3 linked regions of the Sus scrofa genome follow. The protein of the gene in region 1 interacts with the protein of each later gene in a biochemical or structural test. Links are inferred from orthologs where the notes say so. Each region holds a gene or a part of one and is shown in the gene's direction. Other genes may lie near its edges. The genes, in order: DLG1, IQSEC2 and EVI5.

Region 1 (10,740 bases):
CTGACATAGAAATTTAGATTTACTTCTCTCGCATGGAAAATTTTGATTTTTAGTTTTTAATAGATAAAAATCACCTTTTATTCAAAGGAGACATTGAGAGAACACGAGTTTACATTTACATGAGAAGATAGCTAGGTGTTTACTGAACAATCAAGCTATAAAATGGGTGGTCAATTTGAAGGAGGGACCTAGAAAATGGGTATATTTACTTTATCTTCTTTGTTTTGCAAAGTAGCCATTGTCAGTTTTACCAAAGAAGAGTTTTTCAAAAATACTAGTCTTCTTTAAAATACAGGCAGTCTTGGAGTTCCTGTTTTGGCTCAGTGGTAATGAACCCAACCAGTATCCATGAGGACTCGGGTTCAATCCTTGGCGTTGTTCAATGGGTTAAGGATCTGGCATTGCCATGAGTTGTGTTGCAGGTCGCAGATGTGGCTCAGATCCCAGGTTGGACTGTGGCTGTGGCGTGGGCACAGCATATGGGAACTTCCACATGCTGCAGGTCCAGCCCTAAAAAGCAAGAAAATAAAATTATCAGTCTCACCTTCTAGAATTCCGTTCCATTTAACTTTTTTTTTTTTTTTTTTGAGGCATCTGAATCTTTATCTGTATGATCTCAGACATGGATTTTCATTTCTCTTTAGGAACAAGAAAGAAGCTAAACTAAAAGCAAGATCATTTATTTATTTTTTATCTTTTCGTTAAAATGGGCATCTGTTCACTCAAGTATAACTTGTCTCCTTTGTCAGTTATTAGTGTTTCATAACCCAAATTAAATGATGCAATGACATTTTTTCTCCTTTGGGTTTTATGTTTGAACTAGTTTAGGATCACTTTGCCCTCTTCATCATATTCTATTTACTATTTGTAATAAGATTTTGTTCACAGACTCTATTGGACAGAAATGAGGCATTGTCCTTGATTATAGATTTTTTCCTTGCTATTTCATACTCACTTATTTGAAATAAACTTCTCAAAGAAAATCAAAAATATTTTTAAAAACTCTGAATTATGTGTGGTTTATATGTCGACATTTTGTTGTTACCTTGTTTATCTTGATAATTTGCTTTTTTTAATCTCATAACACTGTATTTTCTTTATTTTTTCCATTGTCCTGCAACTTCAGAACATGTAACTTCTAATGCCAGTGATAGCGAAAGTAGTTACCGTAAGTGTTTTAAGTTATTTGTTCTTTCGTTATCTCAAGTAATATACCCTTGGGGTTTTTCCCCCCTAGTTATGTGTTCTAAAAACTGAAAATTAGATGCTTAATATTTTAAAATCAGAGAGAGCCAAATAAAGCTCTGTACTTAATAAATTAAAATCATGCTCTAATGTAGAAGTTAATACCAAGTTTTCATAAAATACAAAAATTCATTTTACAAACAGTGCTTCTTATGTACATAGTACATGCATGTGAATTGGTGTCTTTTGTAAGAAATAAGTATCTAGTTAAATGAGAGGTAAACTTGCATTGTGCCATTTTATTTAGTAACTCTGTTTCTAACATGAGCATTAAAATATTTGTTAGTAATGCTAAATTATAATTAGCTTTATTTCCTTTTTCTATTCTGTGTCACCAATACTAGTATGGATCAAGATATTGTTTATCACCAGCTTTTGGTGAATGTAAGAAATGATGAAGGGAAAATTTTCACCAGTTGCTCAGTCAGTAATCATTAATACTGATTTCTTTTTTGGTTCTTGTGTTAGTCTTTGTATTGTATTATTAAATGAACAATATAAGCATGTGGAATTTTTAACCATATTTGGGCATGGGAGGAGGAGGGGGAGAATACATGAATATTATCAGTTGTAGCACCTTAAAAATTAAATTGCTTTTCTAACTTTTTTTTTTACTGCTGTCTAATATGAAAGTAATCTTGATTACAGATGAGTATGGCTGCTCAAAAGGTCCATCCTGTTAATATCAGTCTCTAATATTTTTCATGTTGACAATATATACTTTTAACCCTCGTTTGTTTGATTGGTTGATTTTTTTTCTGCAAGTAGTTACATAATGATTTTCTCTATTGGTGTGGGAATGTGATTCTTGTATTTTAACATTTTATTTACTTAAAATCAGAACACACTAGAGAGTAGTTGAGTAGCTTTCTAGGCTAAAAAGAGGTAATGAAAGTATATACTGTCTATGTCACCATTTGCATGAATTATTAGGTGTGTAATATTCAAATTGCATGTTTTTGCTAATATGTAATGGTTTACATATAGTACTTAAAAAGCAGTTTGTAAATATATATGCTCAATGTATTATAGTAAACTTGAAAACAACAAAATACGCTTTTAAAGGAGGAAAGAATATTTATTCCAGTTATAATTTAAAAGATTTACAGCTACATACATATAACAATGACAAATTTAGTGAGAATATTATTATAGAATTATAATGAGAAAATCTTCAAATACATTATCCAATATCAATTGATTTCACTGAACCATTTGAATTTAACAATTCTTCCTAGTTTGTTTTCTACACCTGTGTGTGTATATGTATGTGTGTGTTAAGACCTGCAGTTTTTAACTCCTAGTTATTTTCATTGAGTCAAGATATAATTTGTACACTTTTCTGTTTAGAATATTCTTAAGCTCTAAACCCTTAATTTAATCTTAGAGAAATTTAACTTCTAAAGTGCTTTTAAGATCAAAGCAAAATATGTTTTTTCTCCTTACTATTTATATGATTCATTTTGTTGAAAGAAAAGGATTTAGTTTTATCTAAAGCTTTTTTAACTCAAAATTTATTTTTTTAATTGAATAAATGAATTATAATAATCAGTGAAATTTTCATCAGTGAAATAGTAACACTAGCTTTTCCTTTGCATTAAAATGTTTGGCTAGAAAATAGTTGTAATTATAAAAATATGTATGTATATTAAAATTATACCTGGTATGACCAAAAAAGCAGCATATCCTTAATAAGAGTAAATTACCTACTGTGTATATATGTATAGAACTGTCATTAAAGTGTTTAAAAGATTTAATACCTCTTAGATTCTAAATAAAAAATTAATAGCACATACTTGACAAGTAAAGATTTTAAATAAATATAATGACAATGCGTAAAACACAGAATAACAGAAAGATAGTTATTAACTAATACATTTATGTTTTGTTTTAACATTTATCAAACTTTATGATTTGTCACTTTTTTCCTTAAATCTTGCCATGATTAATTTATAAAGTACTCTTCTTTTAACATCTTTGGCTGTTTTCTTAGGAAGGTGCTAGTAATTTATATGTTATATGTGAAGAATTAAATTAGTTGTCTTTATATATTTTCTCATCTCTATTTTAACTTTCTAATAGGTGGTCAAGAAGAATATGTCTTATCTTATGAACCAGTGAATCAGCAAGAAGGTTTGTGAAGCCAGTTAATATTTTACAATCTTATAGAAAAATATACTTCTTAATTTGGAAAATAGATGTAATTCAATTCATACTTTAAAAGTTACATTAATTTTACTATTTTTTTACCATTTGTATATATATAGAAATTTGCTGTATGATTTTATGAAATATGGCTTAGCCCATAGATTATGAGGATCTAGTCATTTTATATTGACTATATTATATTGTTTTATTTCCTAAGCAGCTTCTTTCCACTGTTTGTAGTAGTATCACTATGATTCTAGTGACCCTTGTTCAAAATCTTGGAAGCATCTTTGATCTTTCTGTGTTCCTCATTTCCCTTGTCCAATTTGTTTCTAGGCCCTATTTGTTCTTATCATATCTTTCTTATTTATGACCTTCTTTTCATCCTCCTACCACAATGTTAATTCTGATTTTCACAAATAATCTCTCTGCCTCCAACATGATCCCTTACAATCCAGGATATATACTTCTGTTAGATCATCTTTGTAGATCACTGCTATGATTATATCACTTCTTATACCCAGCTTCTTCTTTTTTTTTTTTTTTTTTTTTTTTTTGTCTTTTTCTAGGGCTGCACCCACAGCATATGGAGTTTCCCAGGCTAGGGGTTTAATCGGAGCTGTAGTGACCAGCCTACACCAGAGCCACAACAATGCAGGATCCGAGCCGCATCTGCAACGGATCCTTAACCCACCGAGCAAGGCCAGGGATCAAACCCGAAACCTCATGGTTCCTAGTCAGAGTCATTAGCCACTGAGCCACTACGGGAACTCCATACCCAGCTTCTTTTTTGCCATTCTTTCATCTGTTTCCTTACAATTTTACTTCAAAAAGGATTAGTAAAACATGATACTGTGTTTTCTCACTTGTAATGAGATAATGTTAGTAATGTATAGAAACATTATCTGCTAAAATGCTAGATTTAACTTGGTTGAATTATCCAAGTCTGACTTCCAACAGGAGATTGAAGTTTATGATCTTAATAAAGGCTTGTAAACCATAAGTTTAGGCATCATTGGTGGAGAAAGAAAAAAAGAAATTCTTCGTAATAGTTAAGGGTACTTTTTTTTTCTAGTGAAATATATACATATTTGTTGAATGTTTATCCCTTTTAACATGCAGTATATTTTTTAGTTAATTATACTCGACCAGTGATCATATTGGGACCTATGAAAGACAGGATAAATGATGACTTGATCTCAGAGTTTCCTGACAAGTTTGGATCATGTGTTCCTCGTGAGTAATTAACCCACATTAAATATTTGTTCTTAACATTTTGTCATTGTGTATGGTCAAAGTAAACATTACCATTTTTTAAGGGTTTATTCTTAGTTACATTATCAGTTATTCCTCCACCCTCCATATTATTGTCTCTTTTCAGATTTAAATCGGTCTCTTTTGTGTTGAACTTTACCAAATGATGCTTTAAGTAGCAAATGGGTTTGTTGTGCTTTTTTAATGTTAAACACTTCCTCAAGTTCTTTTCTATTAAAGATACAACCAGACCAAAACGAGATTATGAGGTAGATGGAAGAGATTATCATTTTGTGACTTCAAGAGAGCAAATGGAAAAAGATATCCAAGAACATAAATTTATTGAAGCTGGCCAGTATAACAACCATCTCTATGGAACAAGTGTACAGTCTGTGCGAGAAGTAGCAGAAAAGGTAAGCAAGCATCAAAGTGATCCCAGAATACAGTTTCTAATCAGATACACCTTTGACAGTATGAAAGAATGAAGGGATAGAGACTTTTAATTCCTATTTTTGAAAAAATACAGATAAATGTTTCAACATTGATTACTTTAATCAATGTTATGAATTTATTCAACTAAATATTTACTTTTAGGTGGCTTAGAGAATGGTATACAAGATCAAGTAGATTAAGAAGATAAGCAAAGAAAATAAGAATAGAAATGATAACATGAATTTCTAAGAGGAGAGGTTATTATTTTGAGGTCCTGTGCATTCGCTAGAGATAGAGCTTGTGTTTAGCCCTAGCTTTCCAACATCTAGCCTAATAAAGAAGCTAGGATCAGCAGTCTACCAATAAAAATGAACCAGATGTTCAGGGTAAGTATAAGTTGCTCCTGGTACTGAGACTAGGCTAAAATTTCTCCTGAAAAGTCATTTAACAAAAGACAATGTGAAAAATACTCAGTAGCATTATAATAGCAACAGAAAAATTTTTTAAAGCAGTCTGATGATACATTCACATTGAGTTAAAGCAGCTTTATAATAAAACCAAAACAATGTACTCCAGATGTGCTGCTATGCCTAAGTCACTCTTTGGATCAAGAAAGTAAATATCAACATTACTTTATACTTTCAGAATTACAGTAGTTTAAAACTTAGTCATGAAATACCTATAGAACATATAGCAGTAATTCAACATCTCTGTTTCCCATCATAAATGCTCCTTTTTTTTTATAAGAGGTTTAATTCTGACTAGTTTAAAAAAAAAAATTTAAATGAAAGTGTTCAATTGGCAAGAATTTGAGAAAATAGAAAATCTTACTAGATACTGTTAATGAAGATACACATTACTAAAACTTCATTTGAAAGCAGTTTGGCAGTACCCAATAAATGTACATAATCTTTGTGACACAGGAATTCTACTTCTTGTTATTTAAGTCAAGATTTACACATAAGGATCATGTATAATGATGTTCATAGTAGCGCTTTCTAGTAGTGAAAAATTGGACTCAGCAAAGAGGAGTGGATAATTAACTTATTTATTCATGCAGTGGTATACAGCAGCTAGAGTGAATAAACTAAATATTCACTAATTATGTGTATCCACCTTAGTCTCAAAATTCTAATGGTGAATGAATGAAGTTACAAAGGAAATATACAGGATGACACTACTTGTAACTTTAACATAAAACATCCAGTAGTTTATTGATGCATATTTCCCAAACATAAAAACCATGCAGGAGTATAAAATAAGCTACAAGGATATATAATACAGCACAGGGACTGTAATAACTATAAATAGAATATAACCTTTTAAAAAGTGTGAACAGCTTTCAGATATGGTGAAGCCAGGAGATCCTGGCCAGGAGGACATGGGATCTCATTGTTCTCCCAGCCCTTCAACCCTCCCCCAAAGCCCCTGAATAAAATGGATTGATCCAAATAAAATAAATAAAAAGTCTGAATCACTGTGTTGTATATATACCAGAAACACAAAATATTGTATCAATATCAACTGTGTATCAATTAACAAAAAATATTGCTGGATAAAGAAAACATGCATGGGAATGATACACATCTACTTCGGGAGTATATGTAGCCACTATCCAGTGGTTTTCTTTTTGAGAGGTGAGGGAAGGAAATTGTAGCTTTAGCTTTAGTTTTAATGTTCTACTTCTTTAAATTCTTAAAAAAAATTTTAAAAACACCCTCACCCTAACTGAGGGTAATATCCAAACTTCAGATTATTAATAAATAGAAAAGCAAACACCAAATCATAGCAAGCTATTTCTTGTGGAAACCTTGTGGAAAAGAAACTACCAGGAAATTCCACAAAGTAGAAATGTTGCAAATAATACTCTGATCACAATGCAGTAAAGCTGTAAATTATTAGGAAATTGAAAACAAAAAGGCCTGGCAAAGAGGAAAATTTTATTCATTTATTTATATCAACATACAGTTGATGTACAATATCATATGTTACAGGTGTACAGTATAGTGATTTACAATTTTTAAAGGTTATACTCCATTTATAGTTATAAAATGTTAGCTATAGTCCCTGTATTGTACAATATATTCTTTTTTTTTTTTTTTTTTTTTTTTGTCTTTTTGCCATTCTTGAGCCGCTCCCGCGGCATATGGAGGTTCCCAGGGTAGGGGTCCAATCAGAGCTGTAGCCGCCGGCCTACGCCAGAGCCACAGCAACGCGGGATCCGAGCCGCATCTGCAACCTACACCACAGCTCACGGCAATGCCGGGTCGTTAACCCACTGAGCAAGGGCAGGGATCGAACCCGCAACCTCATGGCTCCTAGTCGGATTCGTTAACCACTGTGCCACGACAGGAACTCCAATTATTTTAGCTTATTTTATATGTAACAGTTGTACCTCTTTATCCCCATCCCTATATTGCCCTACTCCTCATCCCTCTCTCCACTGCTAACCACTAGTTTTTTTCTCTGTGAGTCTGCCTCTGTTATATTCATTAGTTTGCTATACTTTTTAGATTCCATATATAAAGTGATGTCATACAGTATTTGTCTCTCTATGTCTGGCCTTTTCACTTAGCATAATACTCTCCAAGTCCATCTTTGTTGCTGCAGAGCAGGTAAAATTTTATGACAGAATACTGTTCCATTGTGTGTGTTGTGTGTGTGTGTGTATACATAACATATCTTTGTATTCATTCATCTGTTGATGGACACTTAGATTGCTTCCATATCTTGGCAATTGTAAGTAATGCTGCTATGAACATTGGGGTTCATGTATCTTTTTGAATTTAGCGTTTTTTGTTTTTTCAGATATACACACCCCAGGAGTGGAAATGTTGGGTCATATGATAGCTCTGTTTTTAGTTTTTGGAGAACCCCTCATACTGTTTTCCACAGTGACTGCACCAATTTACACTCCTACTAACAGTGTACAAGAGTTTCCTTTTCTCAAATCTTTGCCAGCATTTGTGCTCTTTTTGATAATAGCAATTCTGATAGGTGTGAGGTGATAACCTGATGATTAGTAATGTAGAGCAACTTTTCATGTGCCCATTTGGGCCATCTACATTTCCTTTCTGGAAAATGTCTACTCAGTTCTTCTGCCCACTTTTCAAACAGGTTGTTTATTTATTTGATGTTGAGTTGTGTGAGTTGTTTATATATGATGGACATTAACCACTTATCAGTCAATATCATTTGCAGATATTTTCTCCCATTCAGTCAGTAGTCTTTTATTTGTTGATGGTTTCCCTTGCTGTACAAAAGCTTTTAAGTTTGATTAGGTCCCATTTGTTTATTTTTACATTTATTTCCTTTGCTTTAGGAGGCAGATCTAAAAAAATACTGCTACAACTTATATCAAAGGGTGTTCTGCTTATGTTTTCTCTAGGAATTTTATGGTTTCAAGTCTTACACTTAGGTCTTTCATCCATTTTGAGTTTATTTTTGTATATTGCGTTAGAGAATGTTATAATTTCATTCTTTTACATGTAGCTATCCAGTTTTCCTAGCATTGCTTAATGAAGAGACTGTGTTTTCTCCATTGTATAATATTGCCTCCTTTGTCATAGATTAATCAACCATAAGTAGGTGGGTTTATTTCTGGGCTCTGTATTCTATTCCATTGAATTATGTGTCTGTTTTTGTGTCAGTACCATATTGTTTTGATGTCTGTAGCTTTGTAGTATAATCTGAAGTGAGGAAGCATGATTCCTCCAGCTCTGTTCTTTCTCAGTATTGTTTAGCTATTTGGGATCTTTGGTCTTTCCATACAAATTTTAGAATTATTTATTCTACCTCTATGGAAAATGCCATTGGTAATTTGATAGGAATTGCATTGAATCTGTAAATAACCTTGAGTAGTATAGTCAATTTAGCAGTATTAATTCTTCCATCCTAAGAACACAGTGTTTCTTTCCTTCTTTTTGTGTCAACTTCAGTTTCTTTCATCCCTGACCTACAGTTTTTTAACTATAAGTCTTTACCTCCTTAGGGAGGTTTATTCCTAGGTATTTTATTTTTTTGATGCAGTGGTAAATGCGATTATTACCTTAATTTGTTTTTCTGATAGTTTATTGTTAGTGTATAGAGACACAGCACATTTCTGTATGTTAATTTTATACTCTGCAACTTTATCAGATTTATTGATGAACTTTAGTAACATTCTGGTAGCATCTTTAGGATTTTCTATGTATAGTATCATGTTATCTGCAAACAATGACAGTTTTACTCCTTCCTTCCCGATATGGATTCCTATTATTTTTCTTGTATTATTGCTGTGGCCAGGACTTCCGATACTGTGTTGAATAAAAGTGACAAGAATGGGGCATCCTTGGAGTTCCCATTGTGGCTCAGCAGTTAACGAATCTGACTGGCATCCATGAGGATGCAGGTTCGATCCCTGGCCGCGCTCAGTGGTTTAAGGATCCGGTGTTGCCATGAGCTGTGGTGTAGGTCGCAGATGTGGCTTGGATCCCGTGTTGCTGTGGCCCTGGCATAGGCTGGTGGCTACAGCTCCAATTGGACTCCTAACCTGGGAACCTGCATTTGCTGCAGATGTGGCCCTGAAAAAGAGAGAAAGACAAAAAAAAAAAAAGAATAGGCGTCCTTGTCGTGTTATTGATCACAGAGAAAATGCGTTCAGCTTTTCACCATTGAATATGATGTTAGCTGTGAGTTTGTCATCATGGCTATTATTGTGTTGAAGTATGTTCCCTCTTCCTGGAGAGTTGGTTTTTATTTTCTTTTGCTTTTTTTTTCTTTTCTGCTTTTTAGGGCCACACCTGAAGCATATGGAAATTCCCAGACTAGGGGTCCAATCAGAGCTACAGCTGCCAGCCTACACCACAGCCACAGCAATGCCAGGTCTGAGCCACATCTGCGGCCTACAGCAATGATGGATCCCTGGCCCACTGAGTGAGGCCAGGGATCAAATCTGCATCTTCATGATCCTAGTCAGGTTTGTTAACCACTGGGAACTCCCTGGAGAGTTTCTATCATGCATGAATGTTTGAATTTTGTCAAAAGCTTTTTCTTCATCTACTGAGTTGATAATATGGCTTTTATTCTTCAGTTGGTTAATGTGGTATATCACATTGATTTCTTTGAGGATATTGAAAAATCCTTGTATCCTTGGGATAAATCCCACTTGACCATAATGTATGGTCCTTTTAATATATTGTTGCATTTGGTTTGCTAATATTTTGCATGTGTGTTCATCCGTGATATTGGCCTATAATTTTCTCTTCTTATGATATCTTTGTCTGGTTTTAGTATCAGGGTAATGCTGACCACAAAGAATGAGTTCCACATTCCTTCCTCTGCAATTTTTTGAGATAGTTTGGGAAGGTAGATGTTAACTCTTCTCCAAATATTTGGTAGAATTCACCTGTGAAGCCATCTGGTCCTGAACTTTTGTTTTTTGAGAGTTTTTTAATTACTGATTCAACTTCATTACTGGTAATTGGCCCACTCAAATTTTCTATTTCTTCCTGGATCAGTTTTGGGAGAATGTACCTTTCTGAGAATTTATCTATCTCTTTTAGGGTGTCCATTTTATTGGCATACAGTTGTTCATGGTAGTCTCTTATGATCCTTTGTATTTCTGTGGTGTTAGTTAAAACAGCTTTTTCATTTCTGATTTTTATTGATTTGGACTGTCTT
Region 2 (10,840 bases), on another chromosome or scaffold:
TTCCTTTCGCATCCATGGCACATGGCTCCCTTCAATAAGTGTTTCTCAACTCTACCACTTCTACCTGTAGAAATCCTAAGCTCAGCTCAAATACCTTTACATCTATAAAGACCTCCCAGCACCTCAGTCTTGGCGTCTCCAACACCTGTGCTTTGCATAGCCTGTCTCTTTGTGACTTACTAATGTAATTCTCTGACTAGACTGGGAGCTCCCTTAGGGCACGGGCTGTGTTTGATTCACCCAGACATCTCCATCTTCCTTCCCTGCTTTGTCTTTCTCCAGAGCGCCTACCACCATCTGGGTTAGTTTCCTGGGGCTATGGTAACAAAGTACCACAAACCGGCTGGCTTAAAACAACATTCACTCTCTCACAATTCTGGGGGCTAGAAGTCCAAAATCAAGGTGCTGGTAGAGCCATGCTCAGGTCTATGAAAGCTGTAAGGAAGAATCCTTATGTGCCTCTTGCTTAGAGACCCCAGTCTTTGCCTCCATCTTCACATGGCGCTGTGTGGGTGTGTATGTGGGTGTGTGTGTGTGCCCAAATTTCCCTTTTCTTTTAAGGACACCACTCATTAGATTAGGACCTATGCCAATAGAGTAGGACGTCACTTTAACTTGATTATATCTGTAAAAACCCTAATTTCCAGAATAGGTCACATTCATGGGGCAGACATCAAGTTTGGGGAGATACTATTCAACCTGGTACATCATATGACATGTTCTGTGGGTCTTATTCTTTATTGTCTCTCTCCCCGACTAGAATGTCAGCTCTATGAGGTTCAGAACTGTTGCCTATTTTCTTCATTGCTAGAATACTGATTGACACATAGCAGACAGTCAATAAATGTTTTGTGACCGAAACTTTGTACCTATCTGCCTCTGACTCTGCAAGGGTATCTGAGTGAGAGAAGCAGGGATAGGGACAGGAATGCAGGCATTGCCTAGAACATCATAAATGCTCTGTAAATGTTTGCTGGATAAGAAGTTCCCTTGTGGCACAGTGGGTTAAGGATCTGGTGTTGTCACTGCTGAGGTTCAGGCCACTGTTGTGGTGCAGGTTTGATCCCTAGCCCAGGAACTTCCACATGCTGTGGGCTTGGCCAAAAAAGAAATGTTTGATGGATGAGTATTAGTATTTGATTGATATGTCAATTTAACCTTTATGGAGCACCTATGTTGTACAAGGTACTGGGGAAAGATACAGAGAAGTGAGAAGGAAACATCTGAGCATCCTGGCTATGCATATGTATGACCTCTGGGTTTCACTTTCCTCATCTGTAAGATGGAGGCAATGCCATTATCTACCTCATAAGATTGTCATGCAGATTAAGCATGTAAAGTACTTAGCACAGTGCCCAGCACAGGGTAAGCACCATAGATGTGATATTATTACTATAGTTACTGTTACATGCTAGACTCTATGCAAAGCGTTTTTAAAAATCAGCTTTATCGAGACACAATTCACAGACCATAAAATTCTCCCTTTTAAAATGTACAATTCAGTGGTTTTTAATTAACAGGGTTGTGCAACCATCACCAGCGTCTAATTTTAGAAAATTTTCATTCTCCCTCCCCGAAACCCCAGAGCAGTCACTCCTCTTTCCCCAACCCATGCCCTCACCCCTGACAACCGATACTCTACGTTTTGTCTCTATGGATTTTCTGATTCTGGAATTTTGTATAAATGGAATCATGCAGCATGTGGACTTTAGTGTCTCTTTTAGCATAATTTAGCATAAAGTTTTCAAGGTTCATCCATGTTTTAGCATGTATCAGTACTTCATTCCTTTTCTTAAAAATTGGGGTATAGTTGATTTGCAATATTATATGTTTCAGGTGTACAATACAGTGATTCACAATTTTTAAAGCTTATACTCCATTTATAGTTATTATGAAATATTGGCTATATTCTCTGTGCTGTGCAATATATCTGTTGCCTAGTAATTTTATACATAGTAGTTTGTATCTTTTAATTCCCTATCCCTATCTTGCCCCTTCATCCTTCCCTCTCCCCATTGGTAACCACTAGTTTGTTCTCTATATCCGTGAGTCCATTTCTTTCTTGTTATATTCACCAGTTAATTCTTAGGTTTTCCATATAAGTGACATGATACAGCTTTTGTCTTTCTCTGTCTGACATTTCACTAAGCACAATACCCTCCAAGTCCATCCATATTGTTGCAAATGGCAAAATTTCATTCTTTTTATGGTTGAGTAGTATTTCATCTTGTATATATCCCACATCTTTTTTTATCCGTGCATCAGTTGATGGAAACTCAGGTTGCTTCCCTATCTTTGCTATTGCAAATTACACTGCTATGAACATTGGGGTGCATGTATCTTTTCAAAGTAATGTTTTTGTTTTCTTTGAATACATACCCAGGAGTGGAGTTGCTGGATCATGTGGTAGTTCTATTTTCAGGAACTATATTGAGTTTTTTGAGGAACCTCTATATTGTTTTCCACAATGGCCGTACCAATTTACATTAAAGAAAAGGGTTCCCTTTTCTTTAAAATTTTTTTATTATAGTTGATTTACAATGTTCTGTCAATTTCTGCTATACAGCAAAGTGACCCAGTTATATGTTTATATACATACATTATCTCCCGTCATGTTCCAGCACAAGTGATTAGGTGTAGTTCCCTGTGCTATTCAGCAAGATCTCGTTGCTTATCCGTTCCAAATGCAATAGTTTGCATCTACTAATCCCACATTCCCAGTTCCTCTCACTCCCTCCTCCTTCCTCTTGGCAACAAGTCTGTTCTCCCTGTCCATGAGTTTGTTTCTTGGGTTCCCTTTTCTTCACATCCTCGTCAACATTGTTATTTGTGGTCTTTTTGATGATAGCCATTCTGACAGATGTGAGGTGATATCTCATTTTGGTTTTGATTTGCATTCCTCTGATGATTAGTGATGTTCAACATCCTTTCATGTGCCTGTTGGCCATCTGTATGTCTTCTTCGGAAAAATGTTTATTCAGGTCTTCTGCCCATTTTTAATGAGGTTGTTTGGTTTTTTTGATATTGAGTTGTATGGGCTGTTTATATATTTTGGAACTTCATTCCTTTTTATGACTGAATAATATTCCACTGTGTGTCTATACCACATTTAGTTTACCCATTCATCAACAGAGGAACATTTCATTGTTTTCACTTTTTGGCTATTATGAATAATGCTGCTATTAACATCATGTATAAGTTTTTGGGTGGACCTATGTTTTCATTTCTCTTGGGTATATTCCTAAGAGTTGATTCTAGGGTTACATGGTAAACCTACATTTAACATTTTGAGAAACTTCCAAACTGTTTTCCAAAGCAACCACACCATTTTACATTTCCACCAGCAAGGATTGAGGGTTCCAATTTCTCCGTACGTTTGCCAATACTTCTCTTTGTCCTCTTTTAACTATCTTTGTGGGTATGAAGTGGTATCTCTGTGTGCGTGTTTGTGTGTTAAGAAACTGATGTTTATTTTTCAACAGCTTTATTTCCATTTTCTGTTTAAGAACCTGTGGAAGACCAGTCTAAGACCACCCAGTGGTCGTTCCTACCCATTCAGTGGCTTGGGCAGCAGGAGCAGTCTTCAGTGGAGGGCTGAGCATTCTAATCTTCAGCAGAGAACTGCTGGATAGGCACAGAGGGCACTTACATGCTTTCAGACCAGCCTGTGCTCTCAGGATGGGTAGCAGTAAACTCAGGAGCTGGAGCGGTCCGTTTACCCTGAAAATCCTGCTCAGTCACAGCCATTCCCGCAGTGGCCTGTTTATCTTTTTCCATCTCTTTAGGGTCTCTGTAGAAGCTGAGATCAGGCTTGACCTCCTGTGGTGCTCACGGGAGATGATGCCACACACACGCAGAACTTCTCGGGCCACCATCTACCACATCAGACTTGCTGAGGGGGCTCCCTTGTTGTTGCACGGGGTGGCAGTGTCCACATGGCACAGAGGAGAATCTGTGTCACACAGAGCAACAGTGGGCATGGTAATATAAGACGCCTCTGTGAGAAGCTGGTAGTCAGCCGTGATATCAGTGACCACTGGAAATTGTGGCTCACAGAAGGCTGCCTGGATCTGGTTAAGGAAGATTCCAGGAGCGAAGTGGCCAGCAATAGGAATGGCCCCGGTGGCAGCAGCAAACTTCAGCACAGGTTGCTGGCCAGTATTCCTGGAGGATATGACACTGACATCAGCTGGGTTTTCAGTGGTACAAGCCACCAGCAGAACCTTCAGATTTATGATGTAGATGCCATCACTTTGCCTTTTGTATACATACTGTTCCATTTGTCAAAGTTGGTGCCAGCTAAGTGGGTTCCTGCTGCAAGGAATTTAAGGACCCCCTCCTCCTTCAGCTGCAGGACATCAAGGGCACTGGACATTGTGAAAGTTTCTCTTTAGGTTAGAACGGAAAGCTTGTTGTGGTTTTGCTCTGCATTCGCCTGATGGCTAATGATGTTGAGCATCTTTTCCTGTGCTTACTGGTCATTTGGACATCTTGGAGACTAAATCTATTCAAATCCTTAAAGGGGCAACATTTTAAAAAACGGGTTGTCTTTTTGTTGTTGAGCTGTAAGACTTCTTTACATATTCAGATACCTCATTTGCAAGTATTTTCTTCCATTCTCCAGGTTTTCTTTTTTATGCCAAATGTTTTTGCATGCTTTTTTCCCAAGACCACCCCTGTGAGGTAGGTGTTATTGAAAAGGAAATGGAAGTTCGGAAAGAAGCTGGAATTTAAATCCAATTCTGCCTGACTGAAAAACTCATGCTTTCTTGCTTTCTCTTCTACCCCGACCTGTTCACAAAGATGAAGGAAGACATGTTTCTGGCTTTAAGGAGCTTGGTCTAGCAGAGGACATGAAACAAGAACAAAAACGAATGCGCTATAAAGCAGAGTTCCACTTGTCCCACAAGCGTGGAGGAAGAGAGCACTTATGGCTAGGGAGATCAGGGCTGGCTTCAGTAAGGTGGCATTTAAATCTTGAAGGATGGGTACAGTTTCTTTGCATGGAGGTGAGCATTTCCAAAGGAGAGCAGAAAATGCGGGTTGAGCGCATGAAGGGAGCTTTGCTCCTAAGACTGGCTATGATGGGGAGTTCCAGGGCTTATTGGGGGGGGGGGGAAGATCCCGGGACTGCCTGTGATGTGGGCTAGAGAGAGGTCACCTGAGATAGGAGGTCCAGGAGTTGGACGGGATGGGGAATCTGACACTTGGAATTGGCAGACCTAAGGGATGGGGAGTCTGCGGTATGCCTGGACCTGGCATGGCGGTTCCTGGAATGTTTTAGAGGAGGATCTTGGGCCTGGTGGACCCTAGGGACATTGGAACAGAGTGGGATGGAGGGCTTCTTTAGGCTGCATTAAGTACGACCCTGGAGCCGGTAGAATGGAGAAATCTCCCGCAGCCGCAGCCTGTGATGCGGCTGGCCCGGGTGCCTCGGGGCGGGTCCGGCTTCGACTGCGGGCGGCGGCGGCGGCGGCAGGTGGGACGCGCGGGGGCGGGCCGGGCGCGCGGGGTGGGAGCAGGGGTGGGGCAGGGGCGGGGGGCGGGCCGGCGGCCGGGGCGGTCCCGCGCGGCCGCGCTGCGCAGTGACTCCGCAGCGGGCGGAGCGCCGTGGGCCGCGTCCTCGGGAGCCGTGGCGGTGGCGGTGGCGGCGGCGGCGGCGGCGGCAGCGGCAGCGGCAGCCTCAGCTCCTGCTCCCCGTGCCGCCGGCCCCAGCGCTGTCTCCCGGGCCCCCCGGGCCCCCGGGCCCTCGAGCCCGGTGCGCGCCCTCGCGTCCCGCCGGCCCCCTCCCCCGGCTGGGCCCGGGGGAGGGTGGCGCCGTGAGCGAGCGGGGACCGGGCTCTCCTGCCCCTTCCCCTGCCCCTGGGCCGCCAGGATGGAGGCGGGTTCGGGTCCCCCGGGCGGCCCGGGATCCGAGAGCCCTAACCGGGCGGTGGAGTACCTGCTGGAGCTGAACAACATCATCGAGAGCCAGCAGCAGCTGCTGGAGACCCAGCGGCGGCGCATCGAAGAGCTGGAGGGCCAGCTGGACCAGCTCACCCAGGAGAACCGCGACCTGAGGGAGGAGAGCCAGCTGCACCGCGGGGAGCTGCACCGGGACCCCCACGGCGCGCGGGATAGCCCGAGCCGCGAGAGCCAGTACCAGAACCTGCGCGAGACCCAGTTCCACCACCGGGAGCTGCGGGAGAGCCAGTTCCACCAGGCGGCCCGGGACGTGGGCTACCCGAACCGGGACGGCGCCTACCAGAACCGAGAGGCTGTGTATCGGGACAAGGAGCGGGACGCCTCTTACCCACTCCAGGACAGTGCCGGCTACTCTGCCCGCGAGCGCGACGTGACCCAGTGCCACCTGCACCACGAGAACCCAGCCCTGGGTCGCGAGCGTGGCGGGCGGGAGGCCGGGCCAGCGCACCCGGGCCGCGAGAAGGAAGCCGGCTATTCGGCGGCGGTGGGCGTGGGGCCCCGGCCACCGCGGGAGCGGGGCCAGCTGAGCCGTGGCGCATCCAGGAGCTCCAGCCCGGGGGCCGGCGGCGGCCACAGCACGAGTACCAGCACCAGCCCGGCCACAACCCTCCAGAGAAAGTAAGGAACGCGTGTTTGTCTCCCCCGGCTCTTCCCCGCTAGTTCCCTCTCTAACTTGTACGGCTGGTAAAGTAAGAAGCCGGTGCCTGATTCCATGTCCACCTCTCCTGTCCCAGCCTGTCGGGAGAAGCCAGGTCCCTCTCATGCAGCCAACACCCCTTAGCTCTTCCAGAGAGGGTTGGCCCGACGAGTGCAGGCATCTCTTCTTTCTCAAAACCGTGGCCAGTGAGGGCCAGGAGCAGTCATCACCCCCTCCACTTCTTCACCCTCTCGCTGTATCCTTGCCAGAGGATGGCTTTTCGTTTATTTATTTATTTATTTAGGATGTTCTGGTCGGGATTTTTATTGTCTGCGACGGTGTAGGCTCAGAGCCCCAAGGGAAAGACACCCCCCCCTTCCCCCCCTTCCGGTTCAGGTCTCCTCTGCGGGTCCTGAGCACAGGCCTGATCTTATCTCCTCGGGCGGCCTCAGCTCCATCCTTGCCCAGAGAGGCAGGTGGGGACTAGAATGGCTGCTGGAGGCTGAGACAGCTCTCTGAGGGGAACTGCAGCACATCCTGGCTGGGGGGGGGGGGAAGCAAAGATGGAGGCCTGGCCCTTGGCTAGTTTCTCAAAGACCACCCCCTCTCCACCCTCAAGAAAAACACCACCCAATTAAAAAGCGTGCCAGAAAAGGAAGTCTACAGAGCTTCCTTCTTGTTGGATCAGTGCCAGTTTCTGTGCTGGGGTCTGCGCGTCTGCCTATTTGGGACACCTTGGCAATATCTCTTGTGTTGATGGGGCATGGGCTGGGTCCACTTCTTCCATGCAGATAACCATGGTGAGCTGGTTGGGATAAATGTCAGGTTGAGAGAGTCAAGGACATGCGGGCTCACAAGGCTGCCCCAAAGGCTCCCTGATTTCTCTTCTGCTGGATTGGAAAGAATACTGAACTGGGAGTTAGGAAACCTGGGTTCTTCTTCCAGCTCTGCTGCAGGTTGGCTTTGTGACCTTGACTGAGTCCCTTCCTCGTTCAGGTCCCTATCTTTTTAAAAGGCAAGGTCTGCCTTGAATGCTCTTTAAGGGCCCCTCCAGCTTAGATTTGATGGTTCTGTGACTAATCCAGCCACACTACAGAGCAAGTCTGAAGTCCTCTAGCGAATGGACAGCTTTCCCCCTCCTCTCACGGCTCAGCTGGTCCTACCATGTGCCACAACCAGTGGAGTGTCTCCTAGAGGCTGGGCTGGGGGTGGGGAAGCCTTCTGCCTCAGGAAATCTGCCGGGAGACAGCTCTCTGCAACTCCCCCGTGGTGAGGCAGCAGGCTGGGGTGCTGGGTTGAGATGGCTGGGCCCCAGGAGCAGCAGCTGCAGCTCAAGGGCTCGACTGGGCTTCACTGCAGCGCACCCTCAGCTGAGGTTTGGTGTGGGCTGCCCCAGAGGGAGATGGGCTCTTCTGCCCAGGTGGAGGGTTGCTGGGAGCCCATTCCTGAAGGACTGACTGTGCGCAGCTTGGGGCCCCACACTGGAGGGAGGGGCCAAATGGACCAAGCAAGGCCCTTTCAGGAGAGGGCCACGGTGGGGTGAGGGCAGAGGGAGACTGGATGGGCATTGTGGTCCTTGAGCCTGGCTGCAGAAGACTTTTCTAGAGTGGTCAAGCCTGTGACAGAGGAAGCAGCCTCATTATGGGTGGCTCCAGGGAGCAGAACCAGGAGCAATGGGAGATTTGGGGGGATATAGCAGGAAGAACTTTCCAACCTGGCTGTCTGGTGATGCAGTGGACTGCCTCGAGGGGATTGGGGAGGGCTGGAGAAAACATCATTCTGGAATCAGTGTAAAACCCAATGAAATGACCTGGGTCTTCCTCAATTCCAGGATCCCATTCCCCTCAGATTGCTCCATCCTCTAGACATGGGTCTGAATCTCTTGGCTGGCTGGAAGCCTGTTTGCTCTTGAGCTCTACGTTTCTGCCATCCGGGCAGGCCTGCCTCTCAGTCCTTCCCTCTTTTTGTGCACCCTTCAGGCTGTTTGTTGCGTTTCCTTGCTTCGCATTTCCTACTGGATTACGAACGGGATTGAGATAGTACTTTGAATCTCTCCTAACCATATATTAAATATTTGTACGTCCATTGTAATCTCTTTTGGGTCCTCACAACAGGCCCTGTGCAGTGGGCACTGGCAACTCCATTGTAGAAATGGGGAAACTGAGGCCCCCCCAAAAAAAATTAAGGGACCTTGCTCAAGGTTACACTGCCAGTTCCTAATGCAGCTGGGACTAGAACCCGAGTCCACCTGTCTCTGAGGCCTGTTATTTTTCCACTCGAGCTTTTCCAGCCCACAGGAGTCTCTTGGCCTCCGGACCTGGCCAGGTCACCCACTGGGAGAGGCCAGGAGAGCCTTAGGTATCTAGAGGATTTGAGCAGGGGGAGATGGATCTGGGATGAGTGATAGAGGGGGAGTGGACAGGGGAGGGCAGGAAGCCTTGTCCTCCCTCCTTTCTGCACCCCTCCCCATTCCAAGGCATCAGGAGGGCCTGTTGATGCAATAGCCATTGTTGTCACCAAAGCTGCTGCAAGTGACTCCCCTGCTAGGCCTGTTCTGGGTTTGTAAGGAGTGGGTGAGAGGCTGCCGCTGGAAGCCAGGGCAGGCAGGGTGGGAGTTGAACAGCAGAGGCTGCAGCATTGGGGGAGGATAGGTAGAGCTGGTACAGGCTGGGTGCTCCTGGTCCCCCGGCTCCCTCTGGTGGAGGAAGAGGGGAGAGAGGGGCCTGGGCCCAGCTGCCGCTTGTTGAGGGGCCCCTCTGCTCAGGGACTTGCTCCCGTCCGCCCAGTGACCCTGTGCATCTGTCACCACCATCCACATTTTATAGCCCAAGCAACCGAGGGCTCAGAGGAGGGAAGTAACACACCAGAGGTCACAGTAGCCGCGAGACAGACTCCCTGAGCCTGGGAACTTGTCCTCTACCGCAGTTGATAGCAGCTGTCACGTCCACCCCCACCCGTGTCATCCCCCCAAGGATTCCCACATCCTCTAGCACTGTCTCTTCTGGACAGGTTCCCGGATGCCAGTCTGCCTTCTGCTGTGCTCTGGGTGTGGCCTTTCTAGTGCAGCATAGAGCGAGATGAGGCCCAACCTCCTTCTGGCCGCTGGACCTCGGTACATGAGGTCTTTGCTTATTTGTTTGTTTGTTTGTTTAGCAGCTGCTGGTCTCTGCTGATGCTCAGATCTTTCTCCCTGAAATTGTTGACACTCCCCCCCCCCGCCCCGTGATTAGCGAAGAGCTGTGTTTTCCTTGTTGATCTTGGCCTGCCCCCCCCACCAACCCCTTGCAGTTCTGGTGCCTGGAATGATTTATAGGCGTGCTGGGGGCCACTGCCGAGTGGCTCCACACTGAAGAGAGCTGCATTTCCCACGCCTTTTGCCCGGGCCCAGCTCTGGCTCTGCCGTAGGCGGTGGTGGGCTGAAGCTGGTTTGGTGGTAACTCTCCATCCTTGGCCCACCTCTCCCCGCCCCCAGCCACCCACCCCAGCAAGCTGGCTTGCGATGGAGGATAGCAACCAGCAGGGCCGGCCTGGCGTTCTTGACAGCCAGGGCAGTGCGTGGTCTAGGCACAGCTGCCCAGCTGGCTTCCTGCACTGGGGTGTCAGTGTACTCCCTGCAGGGGGGACGAGGGCCCTCAGAGGGAGGGAGGGAGCCCAGGGAGGGGCCCTGGGGAAGTCTGTCTCCTTTGGGGTCTTGGGTACTTTTCTCTCCCCTCCAGTGTGTTGGGAGCATTATACTCGTGTGGGAGGCAATGATAACGTCAAATTGAATGAGAATTAGAGGAGTCTTGCTTCTCCGTCTAGATCTGGGGCAAGAATGGGGCTGTTGTCATCCACAAACATTTCTTGGCTGTGTGCACGGAGCAGGAGGGGCCACCAGCCTGAGCAAATACCATACTCTCTGGGCTTGAGAGCTCCCCCACACCCAGCTAGAGACATGGGTCGGGGGCAGGCCCGACCCACCATTGGTGCTGGTGCTCAGGACAAAATGAGTAGCAGGGTTCGGTGAGGAGCTGGGAGGGGGACTTTGAAGAGACTGGGTATCTCCTGATGTCCGATGGAGGGGGAGGTGGGAGGAAGACGAAACCTAGGCTTGCCCTCTGCAACTCTTTCAGCTGTCCCACCTCTGCCTCCCGTGGCTTCTGAATTTGTTGGGAGCACGGGAAAGGTCTGGAGCATGGAGAAGGGGCTATACATGTGCTGAATGAGCCTCAGCCTTCTATGTGCCAGGCACCACCCTGT
Region 3 (10,833 bases), on another chromosome or scaffold:
ACCTACGTAGTCCTCAGTTACCTAACAGAACAGAATTTTTGTTCCCTAAGCTCTGCCTCAAATGTCGGTTACTTTGCAGAAACTCCCTCAGTGTTAGGAAGCTTCTCTGCACATGACGGAAACCTGACTCTAACTTAACTCCCCACCACAGCTCGCCCTGCTCCTCTCAGCCTCCATGTCTTCATAAATGGCCCTTCCATCCCTCTAGCTGCCCAGCTCCCAAATCTCAGGGTCATCTTTGATTTCTCTTTCTTTTATCCCATAGCCAACCTGAAGACAAATCATGTTGGCTGAAAATACATCCACGTTTGATCGCTTCCCACTCTGGTCCAAGCAGTCCCTTTCCTGGGCAGCGTTTGACTGGTCTCCCCGTTTCTATGCTTCCCTGGAAGCAGCTCACTGCACAGCGGCCAGCTGATGCCTTGCAACATTAAACGTGAGTCAGATCATGTCTCACTCATAGTAAAAGCCAAAGGCTGGGTCCCCCTGCATTCTCTGGTTCTGTTTTCTCTCTGGCTTCATCCGCTAGCATTCTCTATGTTGCTTATGCCCTTCTAACCACATCACTAGCCTCCTGGCTGTCCCTTGCTTGGATATACCAGGCATGTTGCTAGTTGCTTTTCTCTCTGCCGGGAATGCCCCTGGTCGGGTGGCTTGCTCTCTCTCCTACCTCCTTCTTCATGGGGTCTTCCCAGACTATCCTCTTTAAAATCGTAGTAACCTTTCCCCACACTCCCTCTTCTCTTCCTTGTTTCAGTTTTCTCCATGTACTTACAGCATCTCATATACAGTGTATTTTGGGTAGTAATTTATGAGTTCAATTTGTTATCAAATCAAGATTCCTGCTGCTCATTTTCTATTTATTCTCTTCTAAGATGATCTAAATTCTTAGGAGGCTTTTTTATGGTGGAAAATATACATACATGAATTTTACCATTTTAACTATTTTTAGATCTAAAATTCAGTAGCATCAAGGACATTTTCACAATACTGTATAACCATCACCACTATCTGGTTCCCAAAGCCTTTCATTACCCCAATTGGAAACTGTGTACCCATTTAGCAATAATTTCCCAGGTCCTTCTCCCCTGGACCCTGATAACCTCTAGTTTCCTTTCTGTCTCTATAAATACCTAGATACCTCCTACAAGTGGAATCATACAATATTTGTTCTTTTGGGTCTGGCTTATTTCACTTACCACAATATTTTCGAGGTTTAGCCGTCTGGCAGTATGTATCAGGACGTTGTTCCCTTTTATGGCTGAATAATATTCCGTTGTACGAATATACCATATTTTGCTTATCCATTCACTTGTTGATATACACTTGAGTTCTTTCCCCTTTGGGCTGTTGTAAATAGAGCTGCTATGAACCGTGGTATATCTGAGTTCCTGTTTTGAGTTCCTTTCGGCAGCTTGAAGGAGAATTGCAGGGTGCTAGGGTAATTATGTATAACTTTTTGAGGAACTACCAACTGTTTTCCATAGTGGCTGCATCAATTTGCATTTCTACCAGCAGTGCACAAGGGTTCTAATTTCTCCATGACCTCAGCAATATTTGTAATTTTCAAGTTTTTTTTTTTTGTAATAGTCATCATGGTGAGTGTGAAGTGGTATTTCATTGTGGTTTTCATTTGCATTTTCCTAATGAATAATAATATCATGCATCCTTCTATGTGCTGCCGTACATCTTTTTGGGGGAAATGTCTGTTCAAGTTCTCTTCCCATTTTTCAACTGGCTTGTTTTTTCTTATTAAATTGTAGCAGTTCTTTATATAGTTTAGGTATTAATTCTTTGTTAAATATATGATTTGGAAATATTTTCTCCCGTTCCATGAGTTATCGTTTTACTCTTTTGATAGTGTTCTTTGATGCAGACAAAAATTTTTTTTGGCTGCACTCGCAGCATATGGAAATTCCCAGGCCGGGGATCGAATCTGAGCCGCAGCTGTGACCTGTGCCACAGCTTTGGCAACAACGGATCCTTAACCCACTGGCCCAGGCTGGGGATAGAACCCACACCTCAGCAATGCCCTGGGCCGGTGCAGAGACCACACTGGATCCTTAACCCCTTTTGATGAAATCCAATTTATGTATTTTTGTTGTTGTTGCCTGTTTTTGGTGTCATATTTAAGAAATCATTGCCAAATCCCATGTCCTAAAGATTTTCTCCTGTTATTTAAATGAGTTTTATAGATTCAGCTCTTTGATCCATTTTGAACTAATTTTTATTTGTGGTGTAAGGTCCAACTTCATTCTTTTACATGTAGATATTCAGTTTTCCTGCTCTACTTTTTACGGATAGTACATATCTGTTTGTTGTCTGTTTTCTCCCACGAAAATTTAAGCACTGTTAGGGCAGGGTTTGCATCTGTTTCTGTCATTGATATATTGTATTAATTATCTATTGCTATTGCTATTTGTGGTTAAAAAAAAAAACACCCTAAAATTTAGTGCTCTAGAACAACAACAAACATTTATTATTTCTTACAGTTTCCTGTGTCAGGAATTTGGGAGCAGCTTGCTGACTGGTCCTTGGGTGGGGTTTCTGAGATTCAATCATATGTGGGCCAGGACTGACATGGTCAGACAGAACTGGGGCTGAAGGATCCACTTCCAAGGTGGTTCGTTGATATGGCTGGCAAGTTGGCTCTAGATGCTGATGCCTTTGATTTTTTTCCTTTCTTTTTTCTCTTTTTCTTTCTTTTTATGCCCACACCCGAGGCATATGGAAGTTCCCAGTCTAGGGGTCAAATCAGAGCTGCAACTGTCAGCCTACACTACAGTCAGCAATGCCAGCACGGGATCCAAGTCACATCTGCAACCTATACCACAGCTCATGGTAACGAGGGATTCTTAACCCACTGAGCGAGGCCAGGGATCAAACCTGCATCCTCATGGATACTAGTTGGGTTCTTAACCCCATTGAGCCATGACGGGAACACCTTTGATTTTTTTTCTTAATAGAGCTGTTCACACCTGACAGCTGGCTTCCCCCAAAGCGTGCGATCCAAGAGAACAAGGTGAAAACTACAGTGTCCTGATAACCTAGTCTCAGAGGTTATAGACTCTATTACTCATGCTATATTTTATTGGTTACACAGATCAGCTCTTATTCTGTGGGAGGGACTGTAGAAGAATGTGAAAAACAGGCCGTGAGGATCAAGGGGGTTCCAGTTAGAGGATGGCTACCAAGTCTTTCTATCCCCACTGCCTAGAGCATCACCTAGAATAATAACCTGGAATAATAAGTAGTGCATTCCATATAAGCAGTATGCATATGTAAATGTTCAGAAAATATCAGATGATTCAGTGAGTCACTTGGAGGTTACTGGTGAAGCCACAGCATTAAAGAGCAGCAGAGGGAGTTCCCGTCGTGGCGCAGTGGTTAACGAATCCGACTAGGAACCATGAGGTTTCAGGTTAGACCCCTGGCCTCACCCACTGGGTTAAGGATCCAGCATTGCCATGAGCTGTGGTGTAGGTCACAGATGAGGCTCGGATCCCGTGTTGCTGTGGCTGTGGTGTAGGCTGGCAGCTGTAGCTCTGATTCAACCCCTAGCCTGGGAACCGCCATATGCCGCGGGTGCGGCCCTAGAAAAGACTAAATAAATAAATAAATAAATAACAGCAGAGGCTTAGGAAAGACAGGATTGCTTGGAACCAAGAATTCTTTATCTTCAGGATGTTTCCATCTCATTTTTACTTCTCTGAGTATAGCCAGGATCTCTGCGTTCAAACCCCTAGAGCTTCCTAATGAGAAAGAAAAGGGCTTCAACTTTTCCAGTTCTGCTGTGAAAAATCTTTGGGCGGGAATCTTCTAGGCCTTCCCTTTTGACCTAGTTGCTGTGGCCAGGGGGTTAAGGTGATGTGACTGGCTTAGCTTGAGTCAGGTGCCTACACCTGTCAATAGAAGATGGAAGAGGATGTGGACAGATAAAGACAGGACAGCTCCCTGGCCAGGTTAGGTGCTCCCCAGTCTGTATGTTCCTGCTATATCGCCATACAATGGAATATATCATTTTCGTCCATTTATTTGTTCATATGTCTGTCTTCTGCACCAGAACCAATATTATTAAACTAGAGTCTAGACACAGGTACTAGGTTTTTGTAACTCTGAACAACACAGGCTTTGTAGTGAAGAAAGAATTATGCTTGCATGTTTGCTTTTACTTTTTCTGTCATTGTGATGTTGGACCAGCCTCAGCATCCTCATCTTTTTATATGAGCCTAATGATGGCTGCTTCATTTGGAGGCACCTTACATTATTGCTGACCTTGTTGTAGGAGCTGAGAATGTCTGCTATCACCCTACCTCCTGGGAAAGTGTCTGACACAGTGGTGTGTCCTTCATATGCTTCTGAATGAATGATTGAATGAGGAAATAAATGAAGCATTCTTCCTGACTTGCTTGGGTTCACTTGTAAATTTTATGAGTATAATAATAGGGTTATGGGGAAGATTGAGACTATAGATAAAAACTGCTTCCAAAGCCCAATTCAGAGAGAATGGAATATATCTGAGTTCTCTCTCACAAGGATGTTACTTGCCTTTGTATTTCATAGACATTACCAGTTAATTGTCCTGAGTAGGAGTTCCCATTGTGGCGCAGTGGAAACAAATCTGACTAATAACCATGAGGACACAGGTTGGACCCCTGGCCTCGCTCAGTGGGTTAAGGATCCGGTGTTGCCATGAGTGGTGGTGTAGGTCAAAAACACGGCTCAGATCTGGTGTTGCTGTGGCTGTGGTGTGGGCTGACAGCTGCAGCTCTGATTCGACCCCTCGTCTGGGAACTCCATATGCCGAAGGTTCGGCCCTAAAAAGCAAAAAAAACCCCCAAAAAACAAAAAAACCCAACCAACCAACCAAACAAAAAAAAACAAACTCAAGGAATTTCCCCTGTGGTGCAACAGAGTAGGTAGAATCTCTGCAGGTTGCTCTTTGGTCTGGCCAGTGCATTAAAGGATCTGGCGTGGCTGCTGCTGCTGGGTAGGTTGCAACTGCATCTTGAATCCCCCCCCCCCCCCCCCCCGGCTCAGGAAATCCATAGGCTGGGGGGCGGCCACAAAAGAAGAAAACCAAAACAAAGCGAACTCAAGAACGCAACGCAACTCCTACCACGTTCATAATTTTGTCTCGTGTCAAATTCAAGTCCTGAAACCACCTAATACATAGAAGCTGCTAACCAATGCCAGAGTCAGCACCCCAAACACAGAACAGCTAGTGCACAAGTGTCATTCTGAGACAAACCAAGTCCTTGAAGGCAGGAAGGAACATGGACGAAAGAGAAAGGAGGAATGGAGGAAGAAAGCAAGGGAAGGAGGAGGAAAACATGAAATCAACGAGCAACCTTCTGCCCCAAAGCTCCCCCTGCCCCCTGCAATCCCCGTCCTCCGCATGGCCATGGGCAGCTTCCTCGAAGTGTGCCACCTAACCAGAGTGTAGGGTAGAGCCGAAAGGGTGTCGAATGGGTGGATCCCAGGGGTAGTGTCTTGTAAACACTCCCGATGAGTCAGCTATAAATTCAATTCAAATCCCCAGTCTCTCTGTCTTTGCTTATCATGGTTACCACCAGAATGACTGCTGCCTTTAGAAACCCTTCTGGGAAACAGGTAAATGTCTAAAGCAATGTTTGATTTTACATCGAAACTTATAAAAATGTAATTGCTGTAACAGGAGATATTTTGTTCACTGAGTTAGGGTTTATAGACTTTGCTTAATCATCAAAACACAGGAACAGCTTGTGGACATTTCAGTTTTATTTTGAGAACGTTATCTCATTGTGCTGCGGCCACTGGAGTGATGAACAACAATTTATGAAGTGTTAGCTTTAATTCTACACCTGCAAAAAAGGTTATTTCGGTAACTGACTGTTGTAATTCAAAACCGTTTCTTTCCCTGCTGTAATTGGCTGCTGCCTATCTTTTTAGACTGTACTTTCTCAGAGGAGACCGTATGTCTGTATGGGTTTCAAATTCCTCCCGTGGAGAAAAAGATGAGCTGTAGAAAATGCTGGTTACCATAGAATTTGTTCACAAATTCTATTTGATGGCAGCGTTAAGTGTTGTGTGGCCTCTCAGTGATGACTTCAGCAGTGGTTACTTCCCAGCCGTGTGTAGGAGTATAGGGCATAATAAAAGCTAAATTAATTTTACTGTAGAGTAACACTTTCCTAATGTATAGTTTCCTCTTTTTTTTTTTTTTTTTTTTTGGTGAAGGTGGGGACAGAGTACCTTATTAACATTAGCTAAAGTTTGTATTTACTGTTATCATTTACTGTTATACTTTTGAGGGCCATACCTGTGGCATATGAATTTCCCAGGCTAGGGGTCCAGTCGGAGCTGCAGCTGTGGTCTACACCTCAGCCACATGGCAATGCCAGATTCGAGCCACATCTGCAAACTATGCAGAGGCTTGCAGCAGTGCTGCCACATCCTTAACCTACTGAGTGAGGCCAGGGATCACACCCACATCCTCATGGATACCAGTCCGGTTCTTAACCTGCTAAGCCACAATGGGAACTCCCTATTGTTGGTAACTCTTATTTGTAAGATGAAGGATGAAGAATCGAAGCTTATGGAGGTTAAAGGCCAGGCAATTAGCAGGTGGTCGAGTCAGGATTTTTCTACTTCAGAGTCTTTTCAAACTCTATTTAAAATTTTTGACATGTTGGTACTTTGGATAATAGCAATTGCAAGAGCTATCATTTGCTGAATGCTTATTCTGTGCCCTGCATATGGTATTTCATTTAATTATCACTCTGATTTTAAGTAGATACTTTATCTCCCGTTTTTTTATGGATGAAAAGGCTAGAGTTCAAAGAGGCTTAACAGGACTTCCTGTTATAGTGCAACAGGATTCACAGTGTCTTGGGAGTGCTGGGATGCAGGTTTGATCCCCGGCGCGGCACAGTGGGTTAAGGATCTCTCCGTGATGCAGCTGTGGCTTAGATCTCAGCTATGACTATATCTGATCCCTGGCCTGGGCAGGGAGGCTAAGGAAAAAGAAAGAAGAGGCTTAACACACTTTCAACAAACACACTTGAAATGTTAGGTCACAATGCAGTCACTTACATTAATGTAGAGGTTACTAGTTCCCAGATCATTGGATAAATTGGAATTACTACCCTACTTGCACTATATCTTATCTTGCTGTAAAACAGCTATTTCAGACAGTCAAGAAAAGAATGGACTTCTCCTGTGGTGGGTGAGAAGGAAATTGGCGCTCTCTTGATGTCCCATTTTGGCAGTGCAATGTCAAAGCTGCTGTTGGGTGGATAGCTGATATCACACATAGAAATGACATCCAAACTCTACAGTCAGAGAGCTGGTTCTTTACCACAACTGTGGCAGATCTAGTCCTTATCTGTGCTCAGGTGCCAAGAGATGGCAATAGATTTGTGTGGCTCTTAACAATGTTCTTTCCTAAGATGCCGTGTCTAGCAGACAGCGGAATGCAGTGGAGGCGAAGCGGTGAGGCTAAAGCCGTTCTTACCTCTATAGGAGGAAAGACCACAGCGCTTGTGCTTGGGTGCCTTTTGGATTTGTGCTGTAGAAAGCATTGAGCCAAGTGAGATAGGCTTTCACTATTTCATGGTGAGCCTTCGTTTTTGCAAAGCAAAAAGAAAATTGCGAACATTAGCTGGAGGTCACAGTAGAGTGTTATTTCTCCTTTTTCTAGAATAGTGCGGCCAAGAGAACTTTCTAATGGATGGAAATGGTCTGTCTACTGCCCAAGGCAGAAATAAGCAGACACACGTGACTCTTGTTAAGCTCTTGAATTGTGTGAATGCCTCTGAGAAACTGAAAATTTCGTTTAAATACAAAGAGTTGGAGTTCCCGTCGTGGCGCAGTGGTTAACGAATCCGACTAGGAACCATGAGGTTGCGGGTTCGGTCCCTGCCCTTGCTCAGTGGGTTAAGGATCCGGCGTTGCCGTGAGCTGTGGTGTAGGTTGCAGGCGCGGCTCGGATCCCGCGTTGCTGTGGCTCTGGTGTAGGCCGGTGGCTACAGCTCCAATTCAACCCCTAGCCTGGGAACCTCCATATGCCGTGAGAGCGGCCTGAGAAATGGCAAAAAAAAAAAAGACAAAAAAAATAAAATAAAATAAATAAATAAATAAATAAATAAATACAAAGAGTTGCATGAGGCTAGTGGCTGATGTATTGGACGGTGCAATCCTAGAATGTAACTGAGATGCCCTGATTTTCTCTGGAAGCTCCAGATGCCAGCTGCCCAGAGTCAGAGTGGAGTGTGGTTCACCACTGACTTCACTGTGAGTCCTTTTCTGTACCCTGGGCAGTTTTTGCCTCTCAGGGGAATGTCTCCCTTGCCTTTCTGTGAGTAACGAAGCTCACCTGGCTGATGTATAAAATGCTTGTGGCAGTTGAGAGCGTGGTGTTCTGATATTTAACCCTTGCCAGGTTTAGCGGCCATAGGAGCTCAGACCTTCTTTGTTTTCCTGTCCTGGACAGTGACACAAATCCATGCTAAGGGTGTGTGGCATTAGAACATACAGAATCATGGAGTTCCTGGTGCGGCTCAGTGGGTTAAGGATCCAGCGTTGCCACACATGGCAGCATAGGTTGAAGGTGCTGCTCGGATTTATAGATGCGATGATGCCGTGACTGTGGCATATGCTGGCACTGCAGCTCTGATTCGACCTCTAGCCTGGAACTTCCATGTGCTGTAGGTGTGGCATTTAAAAAAAAAGAAAGAAAGAAAGAAAGAAAGAAGAAAAAAACATAGCATCTTGAATTGCTAACTGAATTTACCTCAAATTCAATTGTCTCTGAGGTGGGTGCCCCTGCCCACTGCCCCCACACTTCCTGTATCTTCTACTCGAGTTTTTCCAGAGTGTGAACTGCAGAGTGGCAGAGAGCTGGAGCAGAGGCGGTGTTGGGGTGGAATTCACACCGTGGAATTTCACTTACGCAAGTGCTCACGCGCTTGTGAGAGGTCAGAATTAGCTATTTCTCGGGTGAGACTGAGCTTTAATTTTAATTTATTTCTACAACTTTTATTTATTCAAAATTTAATTTTTTGATGAGAAATTAAAGTGTCAGCTCTTTCATCAAATAAACTGATGGGTCCAGGGTGAGTGAAGAAAGGAATGAGCCAGGAGTGGCGTTGGGGGGTCAGAGCTCCTTTCCTCAGGCCTGTGGCCTCATTAGAGACAATACATTACGCACTGAGCCCAGCGGTACTGATTGCTTGGATTATTTAGCATTTTAATGTGTACCTGCAGTTTGTACCAATGAAAATGTATATAATTTGTGCCAATAAAATCAACACCAAGCTTGTTTTTATCATTCATTCAAAATACTTTGAATAGCTACTATGCAAAGTGCTCAGGCTCCTGAGTGGCCTAAGACAAGGCATGATTTTAGTCATTGCAAAGCTCTTCATCTCGTGGGTAGGTGATACACATAAACCACTTCCAACATTAGACTGACCGGGTTCAAAGTCTTGTCCAACCATCTTCCGTTTGTATAAACAAGGGCAAGAGGCACGGAATTTACGAGGTCTGTTTTCTCATATGCAAGGGGGTTGTAATAATTTCTGCCTCATGATAATAGCGTGAGGATTAAAAGAAGCAATGTAGGTACAGCCCTCGGCCGATATTCCGATATTCACACACAGAGAGTGCTCAGCTGTGTGTTTAGCTTTTTTTTTTTTTTTTTTTTTTAAGGACCCCATGTGCAGCGCACGGAAGTTCCCAGGCTAGGGGTCAAATCAGAGCTACAGCTGCCGGCCTACACCACAGCCACCAACGCCAGATCTGAGCCACATCTTCGACTTCACACCACAGCCCATGGCAACTCTGGACACTTAACCCATGGAGTGAGGCTCGGATCGAAGCCACATCCTCATGGTTACTCATTTGGTTCGTTACCCGGAGCCACAACGGGAACTCAAAGCTTGCTTTCTTTAACTGATGTATGCAATATTATATTAGTTTCAGGAGTACAATACAAAATGATACTTTTGTGCATCATGGAAGGGTCACCACAGTAAGTCTAGTTTCCATCTGTCACTGAAGTTATCACAGTGTTACTGACTATATTCTCTATGCTGTACATGACATTCCCAAGACTTACTTATTTTCTAACTGGAAGTTGGTACCTCCCCTTAATTTATTTCATCCCCACCCCTCTGGCAACCACCAGTTTGTCCTCTGTATCCCTGCGTCTGTTTCTATTTTGTTGTATTTATTGGTTTTGTTTTTTGGATTCCACATATAAGTGAAACCATGCAATATTTGTTTTTCTCTGCCTGGCTTGTTATTTTTTTCTTTTCCTTTTTTTTCAGCTGCACCCATGGGATTTGGAATTTCCCGGGCCAGGGATCGAATCTGAGCTGGATCTGCGACCTGCACCACAGCTGCAGCAATGCCGAATCCTTAACCCACTGCACTGGGCTGGGGATCAAACCCTCATCTCCATGGAGACAAAACAGATAATTAACCCACTGTGTCACAGCAGGAACTCCTCTGCCAGACATGCGTTACTTAGCATAGCACCCTAGGTCAGTCCATGTTGTTGCAAATGGCAAGACTTCCTTCTTTTTTGGGGGTGGAGTACCATCCCGTTGTGTACACATACATCACTTCTTTACCCTTTATCTATCGATGGACACCTAAGTTACTTCTGTATCTTAGCTATCATAAATAATCCTGCAATAAACTTTTGAGTGAATATAGCTTTTAAAATTAGTGTTTTTATTTTCTTCAGATAAATACCCCAAAGTGGACTTCTTGGATTGTATGGTAATTCTATTTTTAATTTTTTCCTTTTTTTTTTTTTTTCAGGGTCATGGGTTGGCATATGGAAGT

Evidence for each region.
Region 2: the proteins of DLG1 (region 1) and IQSEC2 interact in a test that uses a peptide from one of them, tested with the Homo sapiens proteins (2 studies listed by IntAct, with this or other methods). The link is inferred for Sus scrofa from reciprocal best matches to the Homo sapiens genes DLG1 and IQSEC2.
Region 3: the proteins of DLG1 (region 1) and EVI5 interact in a test that uses a peptide from one of them, tested with the Homo sapiens proteins (2 studies listed by IntAct, with this or other methods). The link is inferred for Sus scrofa from reciprocal best matches to the Homo sapiens genes DLG1 and EVI5.

What each region holds. Positions count from the first base shown.
Region 1 is NC_010455.5:133,047,212-133,057,951, forward strand, and holds part of DLG1 (disks large homolog 1), read left to right. Parts: intron 1-1,126; coding exon 1,127-1,168; intron 1,169-1,878; coding exon 1,879-1,914; intron 1,915-3,327; coding exon 3,328-3,378; intron 3,379-4,527; coding exon 4,528-4,629; intron 4,630-4,887; coding exon 4,888-5,060; intron 5,061-10,740. UniProt on the Homo sapiens protein: Essential multidomain scaffolding protein required for normal development. Recruits channels, receptors and signaling molecules to discrete plasma membrane domains in polarized cells.
Region 2 is NC_010461.5:46,089,846-46,100,685, reverse strand, and holds the start of IQSEC2 (IQ motif and SEC7 domain-containing protein 2), read left to right. Parts: upstream 1-5,707; 5' UTR 5,708-5,875; coding exon 5,876-6,582; intron 6,583-10,840. UniProt on the Homo sapiens protein: Is a guanine nucleotide exchange factor for the ARF GTP-binding proteins.
Region 3 is NC_010446.5:124,389,803-124,400,635, forward strand, and holds the start of EVI5 (ecotropic viral integration site 5 protein homolog), read left to right. Parts: upstream 1-5,514; 5' UTR 5,515-5,562; coding exon 5,563-5,613; intron 5,614-10,833. UniProt on the Homo sapiens protein: Functions as a regulator of cell cycle progression by stabilizing the FBXO5 protein and promoting cyclin-A accumulation during interphase. May play a role in cytokinesis.